Oryctolagus cuniculus: one gene and its partners. The protein of the gene in region 1 interacts with the protein of each later gene in a biochemical or structural test. Links are inferred from orthologs where the notes say so. Each region holds a gene or a part of one and is shown in the gene's direction. Other genes may lie near its edges. The genes, in order: PEX5, AGXT, DDO, PEX13 and PEX7.

Evidence for each region.
Region 2: the proteins of PEX5 (region 1) and AGXT are reported together in a solved structure, tested with the Homo sapiens proteins (2 studies listed by BioGRID and IntAct, with this or other methods). The link is inferred for Oryctolagus cuniculus from reciprocal best matches to the Homo sapiens genes PEX5 and AGXT.
Region 3: the proteins of PEX5 (region 1) and DDO form a complex in vitro, tested with the Homo sapiens proteins (2 studies listed by BioGRID, with this or other methods). The link is inferred for Oryctolagus cuniculus from reciprocal best matches to the Homo sapiens genes PEX5 and DDO.
Region 4: the proteins of PEX5 (region 1) and PEX13 form a complex in vitro, tested with the Homo sapiens proteins (3 studies listed by BioGRID). The link is inferred for Oryctolagus cuniculus from reciprocal best matches to the Homo sapiens genes PEX5 and PEX13.
Region 5: the proteins of PEX5 (region 1) and PEX7 form a complex in vitro, tested with the Homo sapiens proteins (3 studies listed by BioGRID). The link is inferred for Oryctolagus cuniculus from reciprocal best matches to the Homo sapiens genes PEX5 and PEX7.

The regions. Positions count from the first base shown.
Region 1 is NC_091440.1:102,361,390-102,367,545, reverse strand, and holds part of PEX5 (peroxisomal biogenesis factor 5), read left to right. Parts: intron 1-1,266; coding exon 1,267-1,372; intron 1,373-1,870; coding exon 1,871-1,961; intron 1,962-2,331; coding exon 2,332-2,442; intron 2,443-2,697; coding exon 2,698-2,790; intron 2,791-3,128; coding exon 3,129-3,248; intron 3,249-6,156.
Region 2 is NC_091434.1:718,912-725,667, reverse strand, and holds the start of AGXT (alanine--glyoxylate aminotransferase), read left to right. Parts: upstream 1-2,990; 5' UTR 2,991-3,111; coding exon 3,112-3,276; intron 3,277-3,358; coding exon 3,359-3,551; intron 3,552-4,138; coding exon 4,139-4,203; intron 4,204-5,860; coding exon 5,861-5,961; intron 5,962-6,756. UniProt on the Homo sapiens protein: Peroxisomal aminotransferase that catalyzes the transamination of glyoxylate to glycine and contributes to the glyoxylate detoxification.
Region 3 is NC_091436.1:61,102,344-61,108,499, forward strand, and holds the end of DDO (D-aspartate oxidase), read left to right. Parts: intron 1-3,640; coding exon 3,641-4,208; 3' UTR 4,209-5,853; downstream 5,854-6,156. UniProt on the Homo sapiens protein: Selectively catalyzes the oxidative deamination of acidic amino acids. Suppresses the level of D-aspartate in the brain, an amino acid that can act as an agonist for glutamate receptors. Protects the organism from the toxicity of D-amino acids.
Region 4 is NC_091433.1:141,656,582-141,661,404, reverse strand, and holds the end of PEX13 (peroxisome biogenesis factor 13), read left to right. Parts: intron 1-2,772; coding exon 2,773-3,071; 3' UTR 3,072-3,527; downstream 3,528-4,823. UniProt on the Homo sapiens protein: Component of the PEX13-PEX14 docking complex, a translocon channel that specifically mediates the import of peroxisomal cargo proteins bound to PEX5 receptor.
Region 5 is NC_091436.1:32,000,023-32,006,178, reverse strand, and holds part of PEX7 (peroxisomal biogenesis factor 7), read left to right. Parts: intron 1-1,915; coding exon 1,916-1,993; intron 1,994-2,327; coding exon 2,328-2,436; intron 2,437-6,156. UniProt on the Homo sapiens protein: Receptor required for the peroxisomal import of proteins containing a C-terminal PTS2-type peroxisomal targeting signal. Specifically binds to cargo proteins containing a PTS2 peroxisomal targeting signal in the cytosol.

The DNA.
Region 1 (6,156 bases):
CTACTCGTTCTTGAGGGCCTGGTCTCCCTGCTTTTTTTTTCCCCCACCTCGTGGCCCCAGGATACTAAAGGGCAAAGTCCTGGAGGTTGAGAAACAGCTTGTTGCCTTGATATGTTGTTGTTTCGATGTTATAGCAAGTGCCCTTTGTTACCAGAGCTGCTGCTTTTTTTTTTTTTTTTTTTTTGATAGGCAGAGTTAGAGAGACAGAAAGGTCTTTCTTCCATTGGTTCACCCCCCAAATGGCTGCTATGGCCGGCGCGCTGCGCCAATCCAAAGCCAGGAGCCAGGTGCTTCCTCCTGGTCTCCCATGCGGGTGCAGGGCCCAAGCACTTGGGCCATCCTCCACTGCACTCCCTGGCCACAGCAGAGAGCTGGCCTGGAAGAGGGGCAACCGGGACAGAAACCGGCACCTCGACCGGGACTAGAACCCGGTGTGCCGGCGCCGTAGGCGGAGGATTAGCCTAATGAGCTGCGGCACCGGCCACCAGAGCTTCTAAGATAATTTGTTGCATTCGAATGAAAAACACGGCTGCTCAAAACTAACCCAAAGCAACAAAAGTCAGAATAGTGTTTACGTCTGGGGTCTGGGGACAGCTGGGAACCCATGAGGCAGCTGTAAAGACTCTGTGCGGGGCTGGGTGATGCGAGTACACGCATATACTTGGGCTGGCTACACATTATGTGCTTTCGGGTTTGTATGTTATATCTCAATTAAAAAAATGAAAAACAAAACATTGCGTCTAAATAGCAGGCCCGTGTGTCTTTAATTCTGGCCTGGCGTTTATTTCTCAGCTTCTCGTGGAAGACACGCTGGGATGAAGTGGCTCCTGTTGCTGGGGTGGTGTGAACTGCAGGTAGAAGACCAGAGGTTTAGTTAAGGAACAGGAGCTCTCTGTTCTCCCTTAGCTCCTTGCTGGCTGCCTAGGATACCCTTGAGAAAGGGAGAAGCCCATGTGCTTGCTGTTTCTCATCAAGGCCGCCTGTACTTCAGAAGAGTGCGGCTCTGAATTCTTTCCCAAATTGCCCTGTTTGGTCTCCTGTTCCCATGTGTTTGTACACTTCTACCCCAGATCCCTAGGTGTTGAGTTGGATATTGAAAAGAATGTGAAAAATTGGTATTTTTTTTTTTTTGGCTGGTGGGCACTGAGGAAATAATAGAGTTCCATCTGTTTCAGCTTGCTGAAGAGGTTTGTTTGAGTATTTGTATTGCTTTCCCTGTTCCTCACTGAGTGCTGGGTGACTTCCACAACTTTCTGTTCCTGGTAGACCCCTTGTCCGTGTCGCCTGCCCGCTGGGCTGAGGAGTATCTGGAGCAGTCAGAGGAGAAGCTGTGGCTGGGAGAGCCCGAGGGAACAGCTGCTACTGACCGTTGGTGAGCCCACCCACTCCTTTCCGGAGCCCTGTAAAAGGAGGCCAGTACTGGACGGCTTTCCCAGCCTCTCTGCCTCTCCATCCACATTCTCAAACCAACCTGTGGTCCCTTCTTTTCGTACTTTATTTTTTAAGGTTTCCATTTGTGTTATTACCACTATAATTCATGTTTGAAAGAATCTGAGCAACCCTGCGAAGTTTGTACTTTTATGTGCTTTGTTCCTTTTAAACATTCGAGCCTGCTACTGTTTATTCATTCTTTTTGAAAGATAGGTTTGGGACAGGGACAGGAAAAGGATGTTGGTATACTTTCTGACTTCTGCACAAATATTGTACTTCAGTGTCAGTTGGCTTAGGTAGGTCCTCAACAAGAGTAGAGTGGTGCTACCCTCTCTTTCCCCAAGGGGAGCTGTTACTGCTATGGACTTGGTCCGGAGAATTGCATGGGGAAGTGGTGGCAGACTAATGTGTGAAGTTAATTTATCCCTTTCTGTCCCAGGTATGATGAGTACCATCCCGAGGAGGATCTGCAGCACACGGCCAGTGACTTTGTGGCCAAGGTGGATGACCCCAAATTGGCTAACTCTGAGGTGAGCCATATCCCTCTGTTGCTGTGCCCAGGAGCTGGTCTTGAAGGCAAGCGTCTTGCTTCTGTTGCCTTGTTTAAAGAAAAGGAGATGAGAACGTGGGTCTATTCCTTGCAGCCTTGATCTAACCTCTTCTAATACTCTTCGTTTCTTGCCTGATCACCCTTTCTGTATTCTGGTGCCATCTCCAATCTTCAGAGCCAGAAATCCCTTTCTTTTTGCTCTCGTCTTTTTCCAGGGTCTTTAGCACATACCTTGTGTGCAGCTAGAGCTGGTCAGTGGGAGGGGCAAGTGCAGGATCCTGTTGGGCGTGGTTTAGAGTGCACCCCTGAAAGTCCTCTCCCAAGTGGCTGTGTGTGTCTCTGTGCCCCAGTTCCTGAAATTCGTGCGACAGATTGGCGAGGGGCAGGTGTCCCTGGAGTCCGCTGCAGGGTCGGGCCGAGCTCAGGCAGAACAGTGGGCAGCAGAGTTTATACAGCAGCAGGTAGGCCATTGTCACTTTCCAGTCCCACTTCGGAGCCAGCTGGTGCCCCAGGCCTTGGGTTGAGTGTTCAGTGGTCCCTGAGGGGGAAGGGATTTTATTGCCAGCTTGTCTTGGTAGCATCAGGTCCTGAGTGGGAGGGAGATTCTGAGGATGTTCTTCTCAGAAGTGCCCAGGCTGGTGGTGTTCAATGGGTATTGAGTTTATGTTTAGTGGTAGAAAGCTGTTGTTGGTAGTGACCTTCTTCCTTTGTCACAGGGTGCATCAGATGCCTGGGTTGACCAGTTCACGAGACCAGTAAACACATCTGCCCTCGATATGGAGTTTGAACGAGCAAAGTCAGCTATAGAGGTGAGAGCAGATGGGCAGGAGTAGACTCACCCCAGGAGAAAACCTTCCCTCCGGGAGTTGGGTGTATTAGTGTCAAAGATGGCGAAGGTTTCGTCTCCTAGGGTACCTGGGTCAGCTGTGCCGCTCAGAAATGCAGATTCTTGGGTGTCACCCAGACCGCTGAGTCAGAATCTCTGGGTAGGATCTGGAGATCTGTAGTTTTATAAAGCTCTTCAGATGACTCTTAAAACGCTGAAATTTCACGATTGTTGTCTTAGGGAGTCCATTCCAGTGAGCTGAGGGTGGGATGGGGTGGCTGTGAAGGATCTCCTTTTCTATCTGCCTTCCCTTCCTTACAGTCTGATGTCGATTTCTGGGACAAGTTGCAGGCAGAGTTGGAGGAGATGGCTAAGCGGGATGCTGAGGCTCACCCCTGGCTTTCTGACTACGATGATCTCACATCTGCTTCCTATGATAAGGTGAGAACCTGGTTTTTCAGGTTTCAGAATCCGCCTCTAATACCTTCCCTTTAATACTGAATTTGAAGGAGACTCACTTTCAAGTAATGTCCTGTGTATGCAAAGGTCATTGATCATACACTGTCTTCTTGGCTAGAAAGGTTGGTAAGATAATGGCAGTATGGTGACAGCAGCTGTGAGGGAGGTTTGCTTGTGGTCATTAAGGACACAGAGGGGGCAGCTCTGTTTTGGAGGTGGCGCTGGAAACATTTTCAGAGGATTGCTCGCGCTCCTCTTCGGTGGAGAGTGCCAGTTGACAGTTTATCCTCTGCCACCACCCCTCAGAGTTATTGACTTTCTTAAATCACACATTCATTTTAAGGTCTAATCTCTTCTGGTATGTGCTAGCCCCTTACCCCGGTGTAGGGTCATCTATGAAACATTTTAAATACTTTAATATATTAGGAACATTTCCTAGCAGTTGGTGATGGAGCACGATTGAATTCTGCATCCCGCATGTGCTGTAGAATTAGAAGTTTCTGTTGCTTCAGGAGTCTCCTGCGACAACCAAATCTTGTGGGTTGCGGGGTACTTGAGGTTGTGATTCCTAATTGAGCTCCTGAATTGAAGCATAAGGGGGAAGGGAAAGAATTGCTGGGTTTCGCAAAATGGCCAAACAGGAAGTGGGGAAGGAGTAGTAATGTCTTTTTCTCAGCTCAGATGTGGTTGGGGAAAGATTCTGGGGCTTGAAACAGCCCGAGATACAAAACAGGGTGCTGGGGATACCTGTGGGCAGAGTGAGCGAGCTCTGCAAAACATTAAAGGCCATTAGAGGCAGGATGATTTTGAAAAGCTAGGATTTGGTAGTCAATGAAAAACTGTTTTAGGAAAAATAGGATTTTGCTTGTATTCCTGCTGATCCTCTGGGCTTTTCTGAAGACCGTTTCATCTTATACAATAGAAAAGGTTATTTCTGGAGGTTTTGCCCTGTGGTTAGGAGGGAGAAGGGCAGTACTGTGGCACAGCGGATTAAGTCACTGCTTACAGCACTGTATCCCTTATCCGAGTGCTGGTTCAAGTCCCAGCTGCTCTGCTTCCAATCCATCTTCTGTTATTGTGCCTGGAAGGGCAGCAGAGTACAGCCCAGGTGCTTGGGCCCCTGCGCCCATGTGAGAGACCGTGATGGAGTTCGTGCCCGCTGGCTTCAGCCTGGCCCACCCCTGGCTGGCTTTGCCCTTTGGGGAGTGAACAGCGGATGGAAGATCTCTGGCTTTCTCTGTTGCTCTACATTTCAGATGAGTAAGTGAACAAATGGATGTGTGAAAGATAGAATACCAATAAGGAAAGCCTGAAAGATAGAGATAATGCTTTCATTATTTTATACTGAACAATTTAAAAAATTTTTAATCCCCCCCCCCCCCCCCAACAAAGAAACCTTTTATTTAAGGAATACAGACTTCATGCATTTCCTAAGTACAACATTAGGAATATAATGATTCTTCCCACCATACCTGCCCTCCCACCCCTTCTCCCTCTCCTATTATTCTCAGTCCCATTCTCCACTAAGATCCATTTTTGATTAACTATACACAGAAGACCAACTCCATACTAAGTGAAGAATTCAACAATTTGCACAAAAAAAACCCAAAACCAATCCAAACCAAACCAAAACTGTTCTTCAACAGTCCAGACAAGGGCTGTTTAAAATCGTTGTTTCTTGAAGTTAATTTCACTTTTTTTTTTTTCTTACAAACTTAATTAACTTTAATGAAGCACCCAAGAATGATACATCTTTTGGGAGCACTTAACTATAGTTATAATACAACTCCTTGAGGACAGAGGTCCTGCATGGGAAGTTAGTGCACAGTGACTTGTTGTTGTTAATTTAACATTTAACTCTCTTATATATGATGTCAGTGATCACCCGAGGCTCTTTTTTAAAAAAAAGATGTATTTATTTGAAAGTCAGAGTTATATAGAGAAGGAGAGGCAGAGAGGGAGAGAGAGGTGTCTTCCATCTGTTGGTTCACTCCCCAATTGGCTGCAATGGCTGAAGCTTTGCCTATCCAAAGCCAGGAGCTTCTTCCATGTCTCCCACGCGGGTGCAGGGACCCAAAGACTTGGGCCATCTTCCACTGCTCTCCCAGGCCATAGCAGAGAGCTGGATCAGAAGTGGAACAGCTGGAACTTGAACTGGCACCCATATGGGATGCTGGCACTGCAGGTGGCAGCTTTACCCACTACACCACAGCGCCGGCCCAAGGAATATAGTTATTCTTCCCACCATACCCGTCCTCCCACCCTTCTTCCTCCTCCCCCTCCCCTTCCCGGTCCCATTCTCCACTAAGATTCATTTTCAGTTAACTTTGTAGCATTCACTCCTTTTTAATTCTATCTATTATTTTTACCAGACCCTTAATCTTATCCATATGATCATTTTAACAATTAAGATGGTATTTTTACCACCCAGCTTAAGGGTCTTTGGGGTTCCATGGCAAGTTTTTAAATTGTACCTTTAGAAGTAAGTCCTTAGGAATGCATGCAGAACTATACAGCTTTACAGTTGCAAACTTCATACACTTCCTAATTACAACTTTAGGAACATGGTGATTCTTCCCACCATGCCCACCCTCTCACCCATACTCCCAAACCCTCCTCCTCCTCTCTCTCTTATTCCCACTCTTATTTTTTACTGAGATCTATTTTCAATTGACTTTATACACACGTTTAACTTTAATTAAAGAGTTCAACAAATAGTATAAAAAAACCCAAAATTGTTCCTCAACAGTCAAAACAAAATGGCTGTTCTAGCTATTGCTTCTCAAAGTGTCAATTTCATGTATACAGTTTGCCTTTTAGGTGCTCTATTAGTTACCACAGGTCAGAGAGAACATGTGATCTTTGTCCCTGGCTTATTTCACTAAGCATG
Region 2 (6,756 bases), on another chromosome or scaffold:
GTGTGTGGCCCAGGTGACACGTGTGTGGCCTTTGTGACGCATGTGCATGTGGCCTTGTGATGTGTGTGTGGCCCAGGTGACGTGTGTATGGACCGTGTGACACATGTGCGTGTGAAATACGTGTGGCCCAGGTGACACGTGCACACGTGGCCCGGGGAAGTGCCCCTGGCTGGAGGCTCCTGGAGTGAGGGAGCAGGCGCGTGTAAAGGCCCTGGCGTGCTGCGGGCTGTGCCTGGGAGGGTGTGCACAGGTGGGCACGGCCCAGGGAAGCCCTGGGATTCGGGCCTGAAGGCAAGGCAGGACTGGGCCCCAGGGCTGAGCACTGGAGTCCACAGGAGGAGGTGCTGGGGCTGTGAGCCACAGGCAGGGAGCCAGGGCCATGTGTTCTGCGGTGGGGGGACCGTCATCCGGCCTGACAGCGGCTCAGGCAGGGCAGGGGCTCACTTGCAGGCCACAGCGGTCAGTACGGGCTTGGGCCAGGTGATGCTGTCACTGACCTCAGAGACCCATGGGGCTGCCCAGATGCCACCAGAGCTGAGACCCCAGACCCCACAACAGAGCAGGACCTGAGACCACCAGCTCTGTCCTGAACATGGGCCTCGTGGCTGCAAACCTCCAGCCTTGGAGCCTGGGGGCTTCAGCCGCCCCCCCACCGCCGCCGCAGACCCCAGTTCCCCGGGAGCCTCAGCCCCCCCACAGACCCCAGTTCCCAGGAGTCTCAGCCCCCCCCACAGACCCCAGTTCCCAGGAGCCTCAGCCCCCCCACAGACCCCAGTTCCCAAGAGTCTCAGCCCCGCCCCCAGACCCCAGTTCCCCGGGAGTCTCAGCCCCCCACAGACCCCAGTTCCCAGGAGCCCCCTGCCAGTTCCCTCTGCTTCCCCTCCTCAGGACCCCAGGGCGGCCTCCCCAAGTGCCTGCTGCCCTGCAGGTGCCGCCCTAGGGACAGTGGCACACAGTCCAGGCCCAGAGCGCTGGGCAAGGAGCAGGGGAGGGGAGGGCAGCAGAAGGAGGTCGGAGAGGAACCAGTGCCGCCGCCCGGGCCGCTCCTGTGCTGCCGGACCACAGCTTGTCCACCTTTCCTGGGCCCGACCAGCGACAGAAAGCTCTGAGCGCCCAGGGGAAGGGCAGCTTTGGGTGGGGGGAGATGAGGCACAGGCCTGGCCGCCTCTGCCCATCTCCTCCTCTGCAGCCCGGGGGACCCACACACCCCCAGGAAGGTCAAGGTGCCAGCCCCAGCCGTGAGTGGGGAGCAAGTCCCAGGGGAAAGCTGGGTGCCTCCCTGGGGGCAGTGGCTCTGGGTCAGAGCACACAGTGCTGCGTGACAGAGCACACGCCTGTCCCACCCCCACCCGCGGCTCTGTGCCTCCCGTGCGACCATGAATGCGGGCACAGAGCCACACACAGGGGTCCTGCCCGGGAACGGACATTTGCTCTGTGTCCCTCTCTGCCTCCCCTTCAAAGGGCGTCAGATCTGCCAGCGGGGGACAGGGCACCAGGCGCAGCAGTGTCGCCGCGTCCCTCACTGAGCCTGGGCTCCAGTCCCAGCTCCGCTGAGGCACACCTGGGAGGCGGCAGTGATGGCCCAAGGGCATGGGCCCTGCAGCTCCCGGCTGCAGCCTGGCCCAGCTCTGGCCATTATGGCCATTTGAGGAGTGGACCAGTGGACGAAGGCGCGCGCTCTCTCTCTCCCTCTCACTGCCTTTCAATAAGTAAAACAAGTCTTTTTGTAAAAAAAAAAAAAAAAAAGAGAGAGAGAGAGAGATCTTTGCCCCCAGCGCGTGCGAGGTTCTGAGGTGACGGGGGCTTGCCGGGCTGGGAGCAGACAGCTCTGCGGGGCCTGGAACGGAGGGCGGGGCTCGGCCGGTCCGGCTCCTCCTCCAGGGAGTCTTGGGGTGCATTCGTTACAGCCCCATCACCCAGCCTGCAGGGGGGCGCTTCAGTGGTCACATGGGACCCACCCTCAGCACCCACCCTCCCGCGCACAGTACACAGGAAACACTTGTTCACAAGGTCGGGGAGCAGGTCCCAGGTGAGTGGATGTCGGCACGCGTGAGTGTGGGTGTGTGTGAGCACACTCGAGTGTGTGTGTGAGTGTGTGAGAGGTGTGTGAGTGGTGAGTATGAGCACCAAGTGTGTGACTGAGTGTGAGTGTGTGAGTGGTGAGTGGTGTGTGAGTGTGAGCACCAAGTGTGTAAGATAGTGAGTGGTACATGAGTGAGCATCAAGTGTGTGACTGTGAGCTCGGAGTGCGAGTGTGCACGTGTTGAGTGTGTGAGATAGTGTATGAGTGAGCACCGAGTGTGTGACTGGGCACTGAGTGTGCGAGTGTGAGTGTATCAGAGTGTATGAGAGTGTGAGTGAGTGTGTGAGATAGTGTGTGAGTGAGCACCGAGTGTGTGACTGAGTGGCACTGAGTGTGTGAGTGTGAGTGTATCAGCATGTATGAGAGTGTGAGTGAGCACCGAGTGTGTGACTGAGTGGCACTGTGTGAGTGTGAGTGTATCAGCGTGTATGAGTGTGTGAGTGAGTGTGTGAGATAGTGTGTGAGTGAGCGCCAAGTGTGTGACTGAGTGGCACTGAGTGTGTGAGTGTGAGTGTATCAGAGTGTATGAGTGTGTGAGTGAGCACCGAGTGTGTGACTGGGCACTGAGTGTGTGAGTGTGAGTATATCAGCATGTATGAGTGTGTGAGTGTGTGAGTGTGAGTGTGAGTGAGTGGCCGTCTCCCCCACACCATGCACATGTGTCCGCTAAATCAAACCTTGCCATCAGCTAAGCCAGCGTCAGCAAATCTGGTGTCCTGTGTGTTTTTGCAAATAAAGTTGTATTGGAACACAGCCAATTTGCTCTGTGACCCTCTGAGGGAGACGTCAGACCCCTGAGCTAAGCAGCAGGGAGGCGGAGCTCAGGCTCCCCCCCATGGACACCCCCGGCCCCGCCCCCCTCTGATGTTGTCCCTGCTAGGAAGGAAACAGCCAAAGGCGTGGGTGGCCAGGAGTCCATTGGCCAGGCCCCACCTCCAGGCCGTCACTGGGCTGGCTAGGAGACACCCCAGTCACCAGCCAAGGCCAGTGTGGCCCTGGGGCCCCGAGCGGCAGGTCGGGTGCAGACCATGGCCTCCCGCCAGCTGCTGGTGGCGCCCCCGGAGGCTCTGCGCAAGCCCCTCTGCACCCCCCACCGGCTGCTGCTGGGGCCGGGCCCCTCAAACCTGCCGCCCCGCGTGCTGGCGGCCGGCGGGCTGCAGATGATTGGCCACATGCACGAGGAGATGTACCAGGTGGGCTTGGCCGCCGGCCGCCCGCGGGGGGCCGCCTGGCCCGGGGGGGGGGCCGCATCTGACCCGTGCGCCCCCGCCCCAGGTCATGGACGAGATCAAGCAAGGTATCCAGTACGCCTTCCAGACCCGGAACGCCCTCACGCTGGCAGTCAGCGGCTCGGGACACTGCGCCCTGGAGACCGCCCTGTTCAACCTGCTGGAGCCGGGGGACGCCTTCCTGGTGGGAGCCAACGGCATCTGGGGGCAGCGGGCTGCCGAGGTCGGCGAGCGCATCGGTAAGGGAAGGCTGCCCCCACCCGCCTCGCCGGAGGCCCGGCCTGCTGCCTCCTCCAGGCGGGCGTCAGGGTGCTCCTGGGGCCTGGACCCAAGGGCGCAGCGTGCAGGGGGCCCCGATCCAGAGCCCTGGGGGAAGCCCCCACGCCCTGAGTCCTGCAGCCCTGTGGGGCCCCAGGCCCAGCTCTGCCCTGTGACAGGATGGGGCTCCCCTCACTTCCGGGAAACAGCTCCGGGGGCATCTGGGTGGGCAGGGGGCACGAGCAGCCTTCCACCCAGCACAGCGCCGGCCCCACAGGGCCAGGCTGGTTAATGGACAACCCGAGGCCCTTCGTGGACACCTCAGTCAGAAGGGACAGGCGGCCCCCAGCCCCCAGGCTCGGGCTCCTGTCACTCACTCCTCACACCGTGGGGGTGTCCTGAGGGACCCCCTTCTGGGTGCACAGGAGGCTCTGTCGGCTGTGGAGGAGCGAGGAGAGCCCACCCCCGCTCCCCTCCTGTCAGCCCCCAGGCTGCAGGGCGGGCGGAGTCCCGGTTCTGCACGGCTGCCGGGCCCCGGCTCTGACCCCCTCTCTGCCTCTGTGCCCAGGGGCCCGAGTGCACCCCATGATCAAGGATCCTGGAAGCCACTACACCCTGCAGGAGGTGGAGGAGGTAGGGGTCCCGGAGGGGCCTCGGGGGCCAGCCCCGCAGGCTGGGCCGGGGGATGGGCCCCCCCCCGACCCCCAGCCCTTCCCAGCGTCTGTGTGTGGCCACAGGAAGAGCAGTCTAGAGCTGGGAGCAAGTGGGAGGGGGGGGAGGTGGGGGGGAGGGCCTGGCAGAGAAACCGAGTCAGCCCTGGGGGCGGGAGGCAGGGTGACGGGTCTCTGACACTCAGGGTGCCACAGCTTCCTGCCCAGACCACGGGGACTCTGCCTGGCGGGGCTGGGAGGCGGGGGCCACGCCTCCTCCAGCAGATGTCCCTCCTAGAAAGGTCTCCTGCCAGGGCCCCCACTCACCCCTCCTCCCAGGGCCCCCAGAGCCCCCCACACCCTCCTCCCAGGGCCCCCAGACCCCACCCACCCCCTCTTCCCAGGGCCCCCAGAGCCCCCCCACCCTCCTCCCAGGGCCCCCAGACCCCACCCACCCCCTCCTCCCAGGGCCCCAGACCCCACCCACCCCCTCCTCCCAGGGCCCCCAGACCCCACCCATCCCCTCCTCCCAGGGCCCCCAGAGCCCCCCCACCCCCTCCTCCCAGGGCCCCAGACCCCACCCACCCCCTCCTCCCAGGGCCCCAGACCCCACTCACCCCCTCCTCCCAGGGCCCCAGACCCCACCCACCCCCTCCTCCCAGGGCCCCAGACCCCACTCACCCCCTCCTCCCAGGGCCCCCAGACCCCACCCATCCCCTCCTCCCAGGGCCCCAGACCCCACCCACCCCCTCCTCCCAGGGCCCCAGACCCCACTCACCCCCTCCTCCCAGGGCCCCCAGACCCCACCCATCCCCTCCTCCCAGGGCCCCAGACCCCACTCACCCCCTCCTCCCAGGGCCCCAGACCCCACCCACCCCCTCCTCCCAGGGCCCCAGACCCCACTCACCCCCTCCTCCCAGGGCCCCCAGACCCCACCCATCCCCTCCTCCCAGGGCCCCCAGACCCCACTCACCCCTCCTCCCAGGGCCCCCAGAGCCCCCCACACCCTCCTCCCAGGGACCCCAGAGCCCCCCACACCCTCCTCCCAGGATCCCCAGAGCCCCCCACACCCTCCTCCCAGGGACCCTAGATCCCACCCACACCCTCCTCCCAGGGCCCCCAGACCCCACTCACCCCTCCTCCCAGGGACCCTAGACCCCACCCACCCCCTCCTCCCAGGGACCCTAGACCCCACTCACCCCTCCTCCCAGGGCCCCAGACCCCACCCACACCCTCCCCCCAGGGCCCCCAGACCCCCTCACCCCCTCCTCCCAGGGACCCTAGACCCCACTCACTCCCTCCTCCCAGGAACCCTAGACCCCACTCACCCCTCCTCCCAGGGCCCCAGACCCCACCCACACCCTCCACCCAGGGCCCCAGACCCCACCCATCCCCTCCTCCCAGGGCCCCCAGATTCCACCCACCCCTTCCTCCCAGAGCACAGGTTCCCCCAGCTGTCCCCACCTGACACAGCACCCACCAGGAGGGGCTGAGGTCACCAGGCTCCTGCTGGACCTTGTCCACACGCATTGAGGGGGGCTGCTGGGGGGACCCCACCCTATCCTCACTTGCAAAGTCCCTCCTGCAGGGTGCTGGGGAGCCCCTCTCGGCTGTGCCCCCAGCTGTCACTCTACCCTCAGTGCCTGGCCCAGCACAAGCCCGTGCTGCTGTTCCTGACCCACGGGGAGTCATCTACGGGTGTGCTGCAGCCCCTCGATGGCTTCGGGGAGCTCTGCCACAGGTGAGCCCGCCCCACAGGTGACTCCGCCCCTAAGGTGAGCCCACCCCACAGGTGACTCCGCCGCCACAGATGAGCCCGTCCCACAGGTGAGCCTGTCCCACAGGTGAGCCTGTCCCACAGGTGAGCCCACCCCACAGGTGAGCCTGTCCCACAGGTGAGCCCGCCCCACAGGTAAGCCCGTCCCACAGGTGAGCCCGCCCCACAGGTGACTCCGCCCCCAAAGGTGAGCCTGTCCCACAGGTGAGCACATCCCACAGGTGAGCCCATCCCACAGGTGAGCCCGCCCCACAGGTGAGCCCGTCCCACAGGTGAGCCCGCCCCACAGGTGAGCCCGTCCCACAGGTGAGCCCGCCCCACAGGTGAGCCTGTCCCACAGGTGAGCCCATACCACAAGTGAGCAAGCCCCACAGGTGAGCCCAACCCACAGGTGAGCCAGTCCTACAGGTGAGCCCATCCCACAGGTGAGCCAGTCCTACAGGTGAGCCCATCCCACAGGTGAGCCCGTCCCACAGGTGAGCCCGTCCCACAGGTGAGCACACCCCACAGGTGAGCCTGTCCCACAGGTGAGCCCACCCCACAGGTGAGCCCGTCCCACAGGTGAGCCCACATCACAGGTGAGCCCGCCCCGCAGGTGAGCCCACCCCACAGGTGACTCTGCCCCACAGGTGAGCCCGCCCCACAGGTGAGCCCACATCACAGGTGAGCCTGTCCCACAGGTGAGCCTGTCCCACAGGTGAGCCCGCCCCACAGGTGAGCCCGTCCCACAGGTGAGCCCACCCCACAGGTGAGCCCGTC
Region 3 (6,156 bases), on another chromosome or scaffold:
TCCAGCTCTCTGCTGTGGCCTGGGAAAGCAGGAGAAGATGGCTCAAGTCCTTGGGCCCCTGCACCCATGTGGGAGACCTGGAAGAAGCTCCTAGCTTCGGATCGGCACAGCTCTGGCCCCTGCGGCCAATTGGGGGGTGAACCATTGGATGGAAGACCTCTTTCTCTGCCTCTCCTCTCTCTGTGTAACTCTGACTTTCAAATAAATAAATAAATCTTTTTAAAAAAGATTTTTAAAAAGATTTATTTATTTAAAAGTCAGAACTACAGAGAAAGGGGGGGAGAAGGAGAGAGAGTGGGGGGAAGAGGGGGAAGAGAGAGAGAGAGAGAGAGAGGTCTTCCATCTGCTGGTTCACTCCCCAAGTGGCTGCTAGGATGGGGGCTGTGCCACACTGCAGCCAGGAGCCTGGAACTCCATCCGGGTTTCCACCGTGAGCGGCAGGGGTCCGAGCACTTGGGCCATCTTTTCCAGGCATGTTGGCTGGGAGCTGGATTAGAATTGGAGGAAATGAAACCCAAACCTACACTCATGTGGGATGCTGGTGTTGCAGGCAGCAGCTTAATCCAGTGTACCTCAATGTAGAACCCTAACTTTTAATTCCATTTTTCCACAAGCCTTTTGAAGTAATCTTATATGTTTAAGTATTCTTATATGTTTGAAGTATTCTTATATGTTTAAAAAACATAATTTAAGCTCTCAAATCATTTATTTCATGAGAGAGCTGAAAACTTGTGACCATAAGATTGGTTACATTAAGTATTTTTATCTACAATCTGTTTTACTTAGGAAAAATGAGAAAGAAAACAGAACAGTAGTTCCAGCCCCATTCGCTGCCTTTTAACCACTGTTGGTTATGACACAAAGTAATGCATTGGCTTTCTAAGTTCTCTGGGGGCCCTAAAGTGTGCATGTTTGCCAGATGCGTCTTTGGTTTCCTGTGTCAGGTAAACAACATTGTGTCTTTGGTGGGTTTTCAGAATAACAAGCAAGCGTGCATGCGGTTAAAGTGCCAGCACCTGGGACGTAAGCTGTGTCATTTGGAGCACTGATGCTTGAAACAACTGCTTGTATTTCCTAATGAGTGCACAAGGGGTTCGTATAACGTCAGAGCAAGAGGCGCCTATGAGCTCTCTTGGCCTAGCACAGAGCTTGCCAAAAAAGGACCTGCTGAGTCCTCTAAGTAGATCTAATCCAGAGGTTTCAAAACCTTCTTCAGGCTGCTCTGTGCAGAGAGTGCAGAGGTCTCTGCAGACGGAGGGGGCAGGGGAGGGGAATCCCTTCCGTCAGAGGGCGGCGTTGCAACCCCACAGAAGGAAGCCAGTGCTATTTTGCAGACTGGGAACTGGACACCGGGATACAGATGAGCAGCAGCATTGGTCTCTTCCACGCCCATTAGCTGGGCCACACGTCCCGTGCCAGAGGCTGGCTTCCTGCCGGTCTGACTGCAAGTTCCAGTTGAACTTCTGCACCAGGCAGTGGGGGAAGAAAATTAGGGTCGCTACTGAGAGCCCCCCTTTTGCTCATTAAAATCAGCTGCTAAGACCCATGCTGTTGTTTGCCACCCTCTCTGTTGCTCCACTTCCGATCCAGCTCTCTGCTGACTCACATGGGAAAGCAACAGAAGATGGCCCAAGCACTTGAGCCCCTGCCACCCACATAGGAGACCCAGAGGAAGCTCCTGGCTTTAGCCTGGCCCAGCCTTAGTTGTTATGGCCATCTGGGGAGCGAACCAGTGGATGGAAGCTCTCTCTCTCTCTCTCCTCCTCTTCCTGTACCCCCCATAACTCTGCCTTTCGAGTAAATAATCTTTTTTAATTTTTTTTTTTTGACAGGCAGAGTGGACAGTGAGAGAGAGAGAGACAGAGAGAAAGGTCTTCCTTTTGCCGTTGGTTCACCCTCCAATGGCATTGCGGCCGGCGCACCGCGCTGATCCGATGGCAGGAGCCAGGTACTTATCCTGGTCTCCCATGGGGTGCAGGGCCCAAGCACTTGGGCCATCCTCCACTGCACTCCCTGGCCACAGCAGAGAGCTGGCCTGGAAGAGGGGCAACCGGGACAGAATCCAGTGCCCCGACCGGGACTAGAACCTGGTGTGCTGGCACCGCAAGGCGGAGGATTAGCCTAGTGAGCCGCAGTGCCAGCCTGAATAATCTTTTTTAAAAAGTGGTTTGTGAAGAAGATTATAGGATTCAAGAGATAAAAATTAAGATTATGATATTCCTGTGGATTATTGTTTAATGACTCAAACTTCTCATTTAGAAGATAGAAAAAGTTCTGGAGACGGATGGTAGTGATGACTGGATAACTGTGCCACTGAACGGTACACTTAAAAGTGGTCAAAATGGGACAATGGGGCTGGTGTTGTGATGTAACAGGTTGGGCAGCTGGCTGCCATTTTGACAACCCATATTAGTGCCAGTGCAAATCCTGGCTGCTCCACTTCTGATCTAGCACCCTGTTAATGGCCTGGGAAAGGAGCTAAAGATGACCCAAGTGCCTACACTCTGCACCCATGAGGAAAACCTGGAAGAAGTTCCTGGCTTCAGCCTGGCACAGCCCCTGCCGATGCAGCCACTTGGGGAGTAACCAGCGGAGAGATGACCTCTTTATCTCTGTGCCTCCCTTTCTCTGGGTAACTCAGGCATTCCAATAAATAAATAAATCTTTGTAAAAAATTAAGTCAAAATGGTAAATTTTATGATATGTGTATTTCACTGACACTTTTTTAAAGATTTATTTATTTTATTTTAAAGTCAGTGTTACAGAGAGAAGGAGTGGCAGAAAGAGAAAGAGAGGCCTTCCATCCACTGTTTTACTCCCCAAACGGTGGCAATGGCCAGAGCTGAGCTGATCCGAAGCCAGGAGCCAGGAGCCAGGAGCTTCCTCCGGGTCTCCCACATGGGTGCAGAGGCCCAAGGACTTGGGTCATCTTCTATTGCTTTTCCAGGCCAGAGCTGGATCAGAAGTGGAGCAGCTGGGACTCCAAGTGGCACCCATATGGGATGCTGGCCCTGCAGGCGGTGGCTTTACCCACTACGCCACAGTGCTGTCCCCTTTACTGCAACTTTAAAAAATGTTCCAAGACTCAGATAACTCATTTCTTTTCATTATTTATATATTTTATCCAGAAAATAAGTATCAAACAAAACTATCATGGTATCTCCCAGATACAAATATTTTGTATTTCTCTCTGCTAGCATCCCGGAAGACATAGAGGGGGTGGGAGGCGCGAGCTCCCAATGAGACAGAGCATCCCAGGCAGAGAATGTAGATGGTCAGGAGTGGCAGAAACAAAAATGCTGCAGTATTTAAATATCAGATCCATGTAGCATTTACTTGCAGCATCTTGAGCGATAGAAGAATTCTACAAAAATATACAAGATGAGGTATTCCATGTATTTCATATTTTCAAAAGCGTTTTTCATTGACGTTCAATTCCAGGAACTCCCTGTTTCTGAAAATAAGAGGCAGGCGACGGCTACAATTTGGCCTGCTTGGGCCCCGGGAGCTCTGGGCGGCGTCTGTGCGGTGATCAGTGCGGTGATCGGTGCCTCCTGTCCGGTCCTGTGTTCCTTCCTCGCTTCCTGAAGTGGATGAGTAGGAAGCTACAAAGGCTCACCCCCGGCTCTCTCCTCCCCAGGCTACAAGGAAGTGGAGGCGTGATTCTCACCCGCCGAGTGGAAGACCTGTGGGAGCTCCACCCGAGCTTCGACATCGTGGTCAACTGTTCGGGCCTTGGGAGCAGGCGGCTGGCGGGAGACTCCGCGGTCTTCCCTGTGAGGGGGCAGGTGCTCCAGGTCCAGGCGCCCTGGGTGAAGCACTTCATCCGAGACGGCAGCGGACTGACGTACATTTACCCCGGGGCGTTCCATGTCACCCTGGGGGGGACCAGGCAGCCAGGCGACTGGAATCTGTCCCCAGATGCCGAGGTTAGCAGAGATATCCTTTCTCGGTGCTGTGCTCTGGAGCCCTCGCTCCACAGAGCCTACGACATAAAGGAGCAGGTGGGCTTGAGGCCCTCCCGGCCGGGCGTGCGGCTACAGAAGGAGCTTTTAGTCCGGGACGGCCGCAGACTGCCCGTGGTCCACCACTACGGCCACGGCGCCGGCGGCTTCTCCGTGCACTGGGGCACGGCTCTAGAGGCCGCCAGACTGGTGAGCGAGTGTGCCCAGGCCCTCGGGACCCCTGCCCCCCACTCAAAGCTCTAGATAACATGAAGTGACAGGAAGTGGCCCCAGAGAGCGTGGATCAAAGCCCAATAGCAGCACCAGGCGGGCTCAAATAACATTTTCGCTGCATGAAAGTTTAATCAGATGCTTATTTGGTTTCAAAATGAGAAATGATGCAACACGTATCAGTAGCATTAGCAAGGCTACTACTCATGACATAGGACATAAAGCTCTATTTTTATTAAAAAGTGTTGGCTATATAGGGTCAGATTTCTTTGAATCTCATGTGCAAGGATCTATGCTAATGTACGTGAAGGCTGGAAGCCATAGGAAGTGTGCTGTATTTTGGCTCACAAATCCATGGCGGAGATGATGCATGGGAAACACTTCAATTGCGGCCAGTTGCAGAACTGCCTCTGGCCCTGTTAGGTGATCGCTGAGTGAGCCTTATGAGCCTTCTAAGGAAAATCCCCTAGTGTCCATGCTATGCAGACTCATTGCACTTGACTGAGGACAACGCATGATTATTGCCAGGACAAGTGGCGACCTCTCCCCCTCAGCTGGCGGGGACGGCAGCAGACAGAGATGAAGTTGCCTACGGGTGTGGCATCCACTCGGTAGCCGCCTGGGCTGTATATTCCATTACCATAACTGATGAGGAGCTGGCTGGGACGGCTGACTTACCTAAGCAGTTTTGAAGATTGAATTGTATGTGCCGTACCCGAGCTAATTTGCTGATGGAGATGGAATAATCATTCTGGATGAAATATAACCAAAGAGTATTCTGTAGGCTGTTAAAAAAAATAGTGAGGAAGAGAGATGCATCTCATAATAAAATGAGCTTGGGAACTGCTGAGTCGGGTAGGTTTAGCCTGGCTCCTGGACTCAGGCCGACTCTATCTAGAGTGCTCGAGAAAGTTTTAGGTACGGGGACGTGGTAAATGGGGTAATAAGAGAGGCTGACGCCAACTGGATTTAACTTTTGTTTTAATTTTGGAGGGAGATGACTTACGTTTAATAAGAAGAAGTTCTATTGAACATTTTATGCATTTGAAAGGCAGAGAGGAGAGAGAGGGAGAGAGAGAGAATTCCACCTGCTAGTTCACTCCCCAAGTGCCCGCAAAGCTGGGAGCCAAGACCTCCATCTGGGACTCCCGTGTGGGGCCAGTGACCCAAGTACTGGAGGCATCCTTGCGGCCTGCCGGGGCGTGTGTTAGCAGCAAGCTGGAACTGGAAGCCACGCTGAGTCTTGAGCGCAGAGTACTCGAACACATGACATGGGTGTCCCAAGTGGCATCTTACCCACCGGGTCAAATGCCTGCCCCCTAAGTTGTGTTTTGGACATCCTTGGCGGTGGGAAGGTGGGGGAAATGTGGGGTTGGGAATGAAAATGCGGGAAAGAAAAAGTTTCCAGCACAGCTCTGGGTGGACAGCTTTCTTCGCTGGGATTCTGCATATGATGTCATTTGAAAAGAATATTTTGCTGAGGGGAGGGGGGAAAGGTTCTTGGAGAAAATGCTTTTAATCATCTTTTGCAGTAAAAATTCTCAATTTAAATCAGGTGGGACAGTTTCTATTGGTTTCCACCAGGGGGTGGTGTTGTCTCAAATTCACATGCATTGGTAAATTTGAAAATGGAAAAATGGCTTAAAAAAAAAAAAAACAACATGCTAAGCACGTGGAATGTGTGTGCAATTCTTTTGATATTTGGGAGTTTATATGACCTAAATGCATCATCCTGAGTTCTGTGTAACATATTTGGGAAATGTTTGAGTTCAGATTGACTGGAAACACGCACGCATCTCACATGCTACGGGGGTAGCGATGTGCTATGTAAAATGGCATTTTACAAGGCAGGGGATGCGTCTTGTTAGTGGCTTAGAAAGATGAAGGACGCTGCTCAGAAGTAGAATTTCAGCCATTTCACGGTGGCCGGAAGTGTGCACACCTGTTCCCTGCCCACGGCCGGCATCCTGCGCCTTTTCCT
Region 4 (4,823 bases), on another chromosome or scaffold:
AGATGATTTCGTTTGGTCTTATGCAGTCTGCAGACTGGATGTTTCCTACCCCTGAACCCTTAGATTAATGCTGTAAAGTGGCTGTAATTATTATCCTGTTTTGCACATGAGGAAACTGAGACTCAGAATGAGCAAATGGTCCAGTATCACAAAGCCAAGATGTGATGAATGTAGGTTTGTCTGACTTCGGAGCCTGTGCTTTTAACCACTCTGGATGCCTTTTCTGTGGGAGGATCCATTAATCGATGCTAGAGCCTCTGCTTGGTTTTGGGCACTCTTAAAATAAGGAAAATATACTTACCTTAGGTGTTCAAATCATTACTTTAATGTTATATAACTGAAAAATTTAGATCAAATTACTGAATCTCTGCCTCATTCCTTCATAAATCTTATGCATGTAGATATTGTATTCATATTCTTCTGGTAAAAATAGAAATTATTTTTGATTTCAAAATAATTTTTTTAAATTTGTACTTAAAGACATGAACAACTAGATAATGAGTTTTAATTGATCTAAATAAAGAATGAAGAAGACCAGGTGTGATGTCTTTGAATTACATCATAATATTTCAGAACAATTTATATCTAGTTCTTCAACTAGTCATGCCTTTTAACATTGCCTTTGCTTTTCTCCATTGTTCAAGAAATGTATGTTTGAGCATTTAGAACAAAGTCAGTACAGACATGCTTAATTATATATTTCATTTATTTCCTTTTATAATAGACTATTAAACATAGAAGTCACGTTGTGCTATACTTAAAATGTTGAACTACATTTGTAGCAGTTAAACAGATTTTTGAAGATGTGGATACAATAGATGGTAAAATATACAGAATTGAATATATTACATAATCTTTCTTACCTTAAGCTTAGAATATCACCTTTCACTTCTTATCCTGTCTCTAAAGATAACTGAGGTCTTCAATTTTTTTGTCCATCTTGGATTAAAATACACATTCATTATCTTCAGAATTATTTATCACAATGGGATAGAATGGATTTTATATTTTGGCAAAAAACATGTAAAAAAAGCTGATACATAAAGGTATAGTTTGTAGAGGAGGTAGACATTTAACATAGCAGTTAAGATACTCATGTCCCATATCGGAGTTCTGGATTCAACTCCCAATTCCAATTCCGTATTCCAGCTTCCTGCTAAGGAAGGCAGCAGGGGATTGCCCAAGTAATTGGCTTCATGCCACCCTTGCCACCCTTGTGAGAGACCTGGCTGTGGCCACAGCTCAGCCCTGGCTGTTGCAGTTGAGGCGTGAGGCAGTAGATAGAAGCTCACTCTGTGAATGTGTGTGTGTGTGTCTATCTTCTCCCCACACATAAATATGTTTTTTAACTTTTTAGAAAAAATAGAATTTAAGGTTTATTTTGGTGGAAAATATTTTTAAAATCTATACATAGTTTTTTTTAAAGCCAGTTTCTTTCTTTCTTTCTTTCTTTCTTTCTTTCTTTCTTTCTTTCTTTCTTTCTTTCTTTCTTTCTCTCTCTCTCTCTCTCTCTCTCTCTCTCTCTCTCTCTTTCTTTCTTTCTTTCTTTTTTTAGTTTTTGACAGGCAGAGTGGACAGTGAGAGAGACAGAGAGAAAGGTCTTCCTTTGCCATTGGTTCACCCTCCAATGGCTGCCACGGCCAGCGCACCGCGCTGATCCGAAGGCAGGAGCCAGGTGCTTCTTCTCCTGGTCTCCCATGCGGGTGCAGGGCCCAAGCACCTGGGCCATCCTCCACTGCACTCCCTGGCCACAGCAGAGAGCTGGCCTGGAAGAGGGGCAACCGGGACAGAATCCGGAGCCCCAACCGGGACTAGAACCCGGTGTGCCGGCACCGCAAGGTGGAGGATTAGCCTATTGAGCCACGGTGCCGGCCTATACATAGTTTTTTCATACCACAGATTTTTCATGAATTTTTGAAGACCCTTCGTATGTATGGATTTCAAAAGTCTTTGCACTAAAATAAACATCTTTTCATTGCATTTTCTATGAACTTTATAAAATACCTTCATATTTATTTTCTGTACTTATCCTCACTTACCCTGTTGAGAAGCAGTGAGATATTCTTTCCTGAGATTCCAATTTAAAATATTAAAGACATTAATTTAAAATTTTTTTAATTAAAGGCATTGCTAATTTTAGTTTTAAAGATTTTTATTTATTTATTTTAGAGGGAGAGTGGGAGAGACAGAGAAAAAAGTCTTCCATCTACTGGTTCACTCCCTAGATGGCCACAATGACCAGAGCTGGGCCAGTCTGAAACCAGGAGCCAGGAATTTCCTCCAGGTCTTCACATGGATGCAGGGGCCCAAGAACTTGGGCCATCTTCCACTGCTTTCCCAGGCCATAGCAGAGAGCTGGATCGAAAGAGGAGCAGCTGGGACATGAACCGGCATCCATATGGGATGCTGGTGCTACAGGCAGAGGCTTAGCCTACCTACTATGCTGTAGCTCCAGCCCCTAATTTTTAGTTTTAAAGAGGATGAATCTCCTTACCCTATGAGTGGGCCAACTGACAAAAACTTTATGTTCTTCAAGATAGAAAGAAAATTTAGTAAGTAAAAAAATTTAAAATGTAAATTATAATTATGGACCTTAGAACTGGTAGGCGTATTCAGCATTTGATTTTGAATATCTATGTGCATGTACTATTTATTTATATATTTTGTTAGGTAAATGTAACATTTTACTTAAATATGATATTTTACCATCAATAATCTATTGAATCATCCAAGTATGTTATAATTACCAAGCTTTTTTTTTTTCCCCAACAGAACAACAGCCCAGAATACGTGGTTGGCTTCTGGCTAGTCTTGATGGTCAAACAACAGGACTTATACCTGCAAATTATGTCAAAATTCTTGGCAAAAGGAGAGGTAGAAAAACGGTGGAATCGAGTAAAATTTCCAAGCAGCAACAATCTTTTACCAACCCCACACTAATTAAAGGAGCCACAGCCAATGATTCTTTGGATGAACAGGAAGCTGCCTTTGAATCTGTTTTTGTTGAAACAAATAAGGCTCCAGTTGCACCAGATTCCACAGGGAAAAGTGGAGATAAACAAGATCTTTGATCTCTTTCATGATCATATGCAGTTGAACAATAGAGTACTTTTTTAAAATTATTTCTGATAAATCTACAATCCAATGAAAACATGTTATTGGCTATTCCAGGTATTTTGCTGCTAGAAATTATTAAAGTTATATGCAAGTATGTTGGTCTAGTGACCTGGTTATGTGTTACAAGTTATTGGACCACGAGGACATTGGTTTCACCTAGTTTTTAAGATTATGAAGACTGCTATCATTGTCATCTTTTAAATCCCTAGGTTTATTGGAGGGGTAAGACTGGTGAACCATAGGATATATGGTTTGCTGCAGTAGGGATCATTAATGCTTATTAAAATTCAATTCATTGGCTTGTAATCCTCAGAAATTGATAACATAAATATGAGAGCAGGCAAAAAGGAGACCTTTTTTTTAGATCCTTAAGTAAACTGAATAATAAAAATGTTCTGACTCATATTCTATCCAGTGTTGAGTTTGCTTTAGTCAGTAGTAATATGTTTTTGCCCACAAATAATCAATACTATTATCTTTGTATTTTTTAAATGTATCTTGAAAAGGTCACTAGAAGCATTATAGAGATTGTTCTAGAATGACAGAATATAGCCTTTACAGTATTGCTTTACAGTTTGCATTTAGTGATATAACCAGATCTACCAGTAATGCTTTTTTAATCTTTTCATAGATTCTCTGCTTCTACTTTTTAAAATTCCATATTCATGTGTTCTTTAAACATTGAAAATGTGTCACTTTGCATATACATTTGTTTCAGGTTTAGTTTTTACTACTGAGACTATAAACAAAATACTCAATTGGCATTTAGAATGTGATAATGCTATTTGACTTATTTGTTTATTAATGATCATAAATATGGTTAACTTTCAGTACACTAAGTATTTCCCACAAAATTGGAAACTTTGTACACTTGCTGTAATTTCTACAGATTAATACTATCAGGAATACAGGTGTGTAAAAATATGCTTGCAGGTTTTGTTGAAAACTTAGAATTATTTGACAGAGATTACAATTTAGTATTTTTATCTTTATTCTTATAGACTATATTTACCAAATAATTCTAGAACAGTTCAGACTAAAACATACAGGAGCCATAAAATAAACTCAGCATTGAGGAATTTTACTAGAAGCTTTTGGGAAGCCCTTTTTTGAAATGACAATGTAGTAAGTAATGTAGCATTTAAAATAGCAATATTTGTGCAGAAACAGTTATCTTGGGCCTATTTTCATAACAGTTATCTTAAGCCTATTTTCTCAGGTCTAACCCACAAGTTGAGGAGATAGTTTCTTGTATTTTCCATTTGTGTTCTATAATTAAAAGTTCTGCTTTTTTTTGGTAGGGAATAATTTATGGAAATTCTGTTTTTTAAACAAATTTTTGATAAACTGGTATTTGGACATCTAAATTGAATGTTAAAAGGAAAGTGGAAGTGAAACGTGGAGTTAGTGCTACTTATATTAGGAAAGATGAATTATTAGCATAGAATTTATGTCTGCTACTTAAAATGTGCAGGAAGAAGAGTAACAGAATGAATGACAAACCAATTTCACTTTTCTTAAGGTGTTTATTGTTTGGTTAAGTATGCTAAATATAGTATACATTTTCTACTGTTTGGGTCTGGAAATTCCCTTTCTGTTAAAATTCTAGAAAAAGAATTTAAGGCTAGAATAAGCAGAGAAATTTTGTAACCTTTTTTATCATGATAGTTTTATTATAATTCCTAGATGACATTAAATGTTATGGT
Region 5 (6,156 bases), on another chromosome or scaffold:
TGTTATTTTTTGACTGCTTACATCAGCCTAGAGCAGGGATTGGCAGACTACAACTTATGGGCCATGGCCTACCCTGATTTGCTGTTTGATTTGCAAATAAAGTTTTATTGGGACACAGCCATACCCATTCATTGAGTATTGACTTAGGCTGCTTTTATGTGTCCTGTAAAGTCTGAAATACTTACTCTATGGCCCTGATAGAAGAGATTTAACTTTATGGAAGAAATTTACCATATACTATAGGGCTCTTTATAAAGTAAATGTAGAGCGTAAACTCAAACCCCTCAGCTGTGCAGATCTTCAGTGACTGCTTCTGAACGCATCCTTTTCCATCTGTGGCTGACATACGGCCACAGCAGCTCTTTGGGTATGAGCTGTTGTCTGTTGCGAGACTATGGTTCTTTTCATGTCTTAGCTGCTCTTCTGTTGCATGAATATGGGCAGTGACAGGGCCAGGGCTTGTGGGGGGGGGGGTGGGGTTGTGAGGCACTCACAGAGTATACAGTTTAAGGGAGTTCCCCAAAACTTGATAATTAAGGTAATAGTCTGTTAATGCAGTGTTTTCAAAAAATAAAAATGGATGCAAAAAATTCATGATGAGCCAAATACCAATATTGTGTTTTCTTTTATCCTTCCTCTTTTTTGGAAGATTAATAAAATTTAATTTTTTTCAAAAGGTCTCCAGCTTTATTGAGATATGATTCACAAATAAAAATTATATATATTTAAGGTATGTAAAGTAGGGCTTTAATATACAAGTATACATAGAGTAATGATTACTCCCATTAAGCCTCTTAGCATATCCATCATCTGAGACGGTTACCATTTTGTATGTGTGTCAAGAACATATAAAAGCTATTGTCTTAGCAAATTTCAAATGTAGAATACATTACTATTAACTGCAATTACCATACTTTACATTGGATCTCTAGACCTTAACTTGCAGCTGAAAGTTTATTTCCATTTTCCTCACCCCCCAACCCTTGGCAGCCAGCACTGTACAGTGTGTTTTTCTTAAGTTCTACTGTGCTGGATTGCATAGAAGTGATGAAGCATGAAAAGTTTGAAATAAAGGGAGGATCAGTATCACTGATTTTCACCCCCTTAGGCCGTAACATTGCTCAGCAGGGCATTGGGCGGCAGAGAGCAAGGAGCCCAGCCTGCAGCTGCAGCGCCCCATTTGTTCATTGTCTCCACAGGTATGTGGGAGTGAGACTTGTCAGCTTCACATTAGCCTGCTGGGTGGTCACATTTAATGACATATACTCAGGTTCATGTCTGGGCTTTTTCTAAAGTATAATTGTGCATATTTTCTTGAACTTAAACTCAGTGATCTGTATATAATCAGAGGTATAAAATGGTGGAATAAAAAATATTTCTGTTAAGTTTTCAGATGGTCCGTTTGAAATGGTTCAGTGAGAATACTGAAGCATAAATTAGAATAGCAGCATTGGATAACTAAAGCTGTTTACCAAGAGATCTGAAAGGATCACCTGGTTTCTATAAGCTTTTTCTAAGAAAGGCCAAATAGGGATATTAATTGAATTTATAATGCTTTCTGATAAACACTGACCCAGTAAGGTTTTTTAGATGACTACCTCTCTAATCTTCTCTGACATTTCTTCATGGTGCTGCAAACAGTGATTTGTGGGCAGGTTTAAAAATAGGTATAATTTGTTTTAGGGAAGGTTTGGGAGTATTCTGTAGAGTTCTGTTAAGGTGGAGTCTGGTCTGTGGGGAATAATGTGGAAGAATGGGCAAGGTCACCTTTCCACTTCTCAGCGTGTTGAAATGACTTTGATGTTTTAATGAAGCAAATTACTTGTTCTAACTGGCTATCACTGCAATAAAGAGATAAAATGTAATGTTGAACTTGATGCCCTTTTGCTTTCTAAACGCATTAAAATGTTTTTAGGTGTATAGTGTTGATTGGAGCCAAACCAGAGGTGAACAGCTTGTGGTGTCTGGCTCATGGGATCAGTCTGTCAAAGTGGTATGTCAGCATTACTGTATTTAAAACAAACACTGAATTGTTTCTTTTCCAAAACATAACTTCTGTAATTTCACAGATAGTTTTGTTTTCAAGACATGTATTGAAATGGTTATTAGAATTTAAAATAGATTTCTTTGGGCCATAATTAGCTCAGCATTGATTATTTTGGCCCCTTAAAATTGGTACCTCTTGCTTTACATAAAAATAGATATTAAAATTGATGATATGTATTGCTTGTGTATGTATATTACCTATTTATATATATATAGTATATACATGTGCATGAATTTGAATTTCCCTTTGTTAAGTAACTGATCTATTCATTTGTTTGTAGTGGGACCCAACTATTGGAAAGTCTCTGTGCACCTTTAGAGGCCACGAGAGTGTCATTTATAGCACAATCTGGTCTCCCCACATCCCTGGTTGTTTTGCTTCAGCCTCAGGTAAATAATTGTCTGCTTACCAGAAGCATTATTTGTAGAAAAGCGTGGCCTTGTTTTCCCCATTAGGTGGTGCTGTATACCTCAGATTCAGGGTGGAACCCAGAGTATATGACATACTGTTCTTTTGTACTCTTAAGACTGTTTCATTCATTGGGCTGGTGCTGCAGCTCACTTGGCTAATCCTCTGCCTGTGGCGCCAGCACCCCGGGTTCTAGTCTCGGTTGGGGTGCTGGATTCTGTCCCGGTTGCTTCTCTTCCAGTCCAGCTCTCTGCTGTGGCCCCGGAAGGCAGTGGAGGATGGCCCAAAGTGCTTGGGCCCTGCACCCGCACGGGAGACCAGGAGGAAACACCTGGCTCCTGGCTTCGGATCCGCGCGGTGCGAGCCAGCCGCAGTGGCCATCTGGGGGTTGAACCAATGGAAGGAAGACCTTTCTCTGTCTCTCTCTCACTGTCTAACTCTGCCCGTCAAAAAAAAAAAAAAAAAAAAAAAAAAGACTGTTTCATTCATTACCAACCTCTTGACAAGAGTTAGCCAGGGGCCCAGATTACTTCTCGGGGATTCTAACTCTTGGAGAATAACTCATAGCTTCCTGGTAAGGACAAATCCATGGATGGCGATCAGAAACTAGGGTAAGAAATACTTTTGAAAGAGAAGGTCTTGAGTGTGTGTGTGTGTTTAAATATTTATTTATTTGAAAGGTGGAGTTAGAGAGAGAGAGAGGTCTTCCACCTGCTGGTTCACTCCCCATATGGCTGCAATAGCCAGGGCTGGGCCAGACTGAAACCAGGAGCCAGGAGCTTCCTCTTAGTCTCCCACATAGGTGTAGGGGCCCAAGCACTTGGGCCATCTTCCTCTGCTTTTCCAGGCATGTTAGCAGGAAGCTGGATTGGAATTGGAGCAGCCAGCACCCATATGAGATACTGGCACTGCAAGCGGCCACTCCACCCACTACGCCACAACGCCAGCCCCTTGAGTTTTGTTTTAGAACACTGTTGACTCTGAAGACGTATATGTGGGTATGTCAGCAAGCAGGTTCATTGTGGAGCTCAGTCTAGCCTTGTGACCCGAAATTGTGCTCTTGGCTCATGACTGGTAATTGAAGTGCTGGCAGGAAATCTGAGTACCCAGGAAGACTAAACAGAAGAAACTTGGGATGGAACAAAAGTTGGCAAACTACTGCCCTCATGTCACAGTGACTGACTCAGTGACAGTTTTTGTAGATAAAGTTTTGTTGAATCAGAACCATGACATTTATTCACATAGTGTCTGTGGGTGCTTTCAAGTACAGTGGCAGAGTTGCATAGTTGTGACATCTGAAACTGGCCCTCAAAGCCATAAAAGACTGGCCCTTTATGGGGACTGTTTGCTCACCCCTGGCATAGAGCCTTGAGGGAAGATCAATCCTGAGCACAGTTGGTTGTTTTAGTGAGGAGAGAAGACAGGAGCTAGAGAGAGTGACAGTGTGTCTCCAGGTGTCTCTCATTTAGTTATGCTACATCCAGACAAAGAACAGGTAGGGTAATCGTACCTTACTTGCCAATAAACTATCAGTGCTCTGAGTTGGCTTCCTTAGGAAATAGGACATCATAGAAATCCTTTCCATTAGTTGATTTTCTTATTAATTTTTTAATTCTAAAAACTACAAGTAGTCAAACTGGGACATGACTTTACTCTTGTGGTTAAGATACCATTGTCCCATGTCGGAATACTTAGCTCCTGACTCCAGCTTCCTGCTAATGTGGACTGTGGGAGACAGTAATGATGGCTCGAATAATTGAGTTCTTCCCTCCCATGTGGAGAACCTGGACTGAGTTTCCAGCTCCCAGCTTTGGCCAACACCAGTAGTTGTGTGCCTTTAGAGAGTGAACTAGCAGGTGGAAAGTCGCTCACTCACTGGCCACCACTCACTATTCCCCCCCCTCCCCCCAATTGCTCAAATTCTGAAAGTATTACTAAGCTGATGACACTCAAAAATGGAAACCTTAGGTAACCTGTGTATAGACAAACAGGTAACCTTAGGTAACCTGTATATGGACAACTAGATACATTTAGATTATTATTTTGAGATCCTAATGGTGACTAATCTATTTAGAGGCAATCAATTTAAGAAACATTTTGTTCTCTGAAAGAAATTACTGATATTATTTTCTAGAATGATGAGCAATGTACTCTATAAACTTATATAATTTTATTACTATTTTTAAATTTCTAAGTTAACAAGTCATTGCTTCTTTTGGTCATAATCTAAGTTAAATCTTTTCTAAAATACCTTGAGATGGGATCAGTGATATATTTTTCCTCATTGTATTTCCTTTTCCAAGGATGAATTTCTTCTTTGATGTTTTATCCTTCTGTGACACAGCTAACCATAAGGCTGGGTGTGTGTTAAGTCAATGGTAGTAGTGTTAATACACTTAGTTTGAGTTAATGAACCATTTAACCTGTATATAGTATAAATGCTGAGTTTTATATTTATAATGGATCAGATCTGTAAGATGACTATAGTTTAAGGGATATAATTTTACCATTGGTGAAAAGCCCTAACACAGAGAGTGTTAGCCCAAGTTGAATTAAAATGCTTGTAAGGATATGAATTAGACTGACTTTAACTTCATTTTCTTTACGGTGAGATGCCCTTCAGCCGTAACTATGATGCAGAGAAGTTGTTTCAAACTCTGAACGAATTTAGAGGTAAAGAATAGATCCGCCTTCAAAATGGGCAGAAACAGGCTTCCTTCTGAAAGTAAAACAGTGAAAGCGTGTCTGCTTGGGATTCTGATGGGCAACATTCACAGTAAACTGAAGTTAAAAATGAGTATAATTTTGCGTATTGGGAAAAGTATTAGTAAGTAGAACTCATTGAACTCCTGATGAGTTTTTAGAAAGTCCTTTATCCTACTATTGTATGTTACCTTGTTAATTTATATTATTGTTTAGAGTTCTAAAATTGTCTTCATGCTTATAATTGTTGTTCTTTTTATGCCCATGGCTGAATATGAAATCTGGTAGCCACAAAATCATAAACTAGTACAGCTGCATTTATTTAAACATCAGGTATATTGTGTGTATTAGCCCTTTATTTGGGCTGAGTCATGCACCTCTTCCTTTTATATTGGCTTTTGTGTGGCATGGTATACTCACATATAATATTGACTCTGGATATTACACATGGAACACTCATTTGGTGTATGAGACCAAATAGCAGAAAAAAAGATTCATTGTTTATAGAGAGTTAGCAAGATAATTACAGCTTTTTAAATGGGTACTATATAAAAACAGTCTGCTATCAACAGAGTGATCATTTGCTTTCATAGAACAGATCATCTGCTTAATTGTGTTACCTTCAGTGTTGCATTAGAAGTTAATGTAAATAGTGATCTTATCAACCAGGAATTCTTTGGTTGAAAATGCAAGAAATTCTGACCCCAGCTGTCTTAAGAAAAAAGATAATTTACTTCCTCATGTAGTTGAAAAATTAGAGCTGGCTTACAGGCAGTGCTTAGGTGTAGGGCTCTGTCTTCTGTTGGATTCATCATTAGGTAACAAGCAATGCATGATGGCAGTAACTCTGACCCCACATCCATCCTGATTTCCGTCCAGTAGGAAATGGTGAGAGATTCTTAGACGTCCAGGAGAATTTCATGTTTTCTCATTGGCTCTGATGGTTCCATGTGGATGTTCCTGAACTGATTACTGTTCTTGGGGGAGCAGTTTGTAAT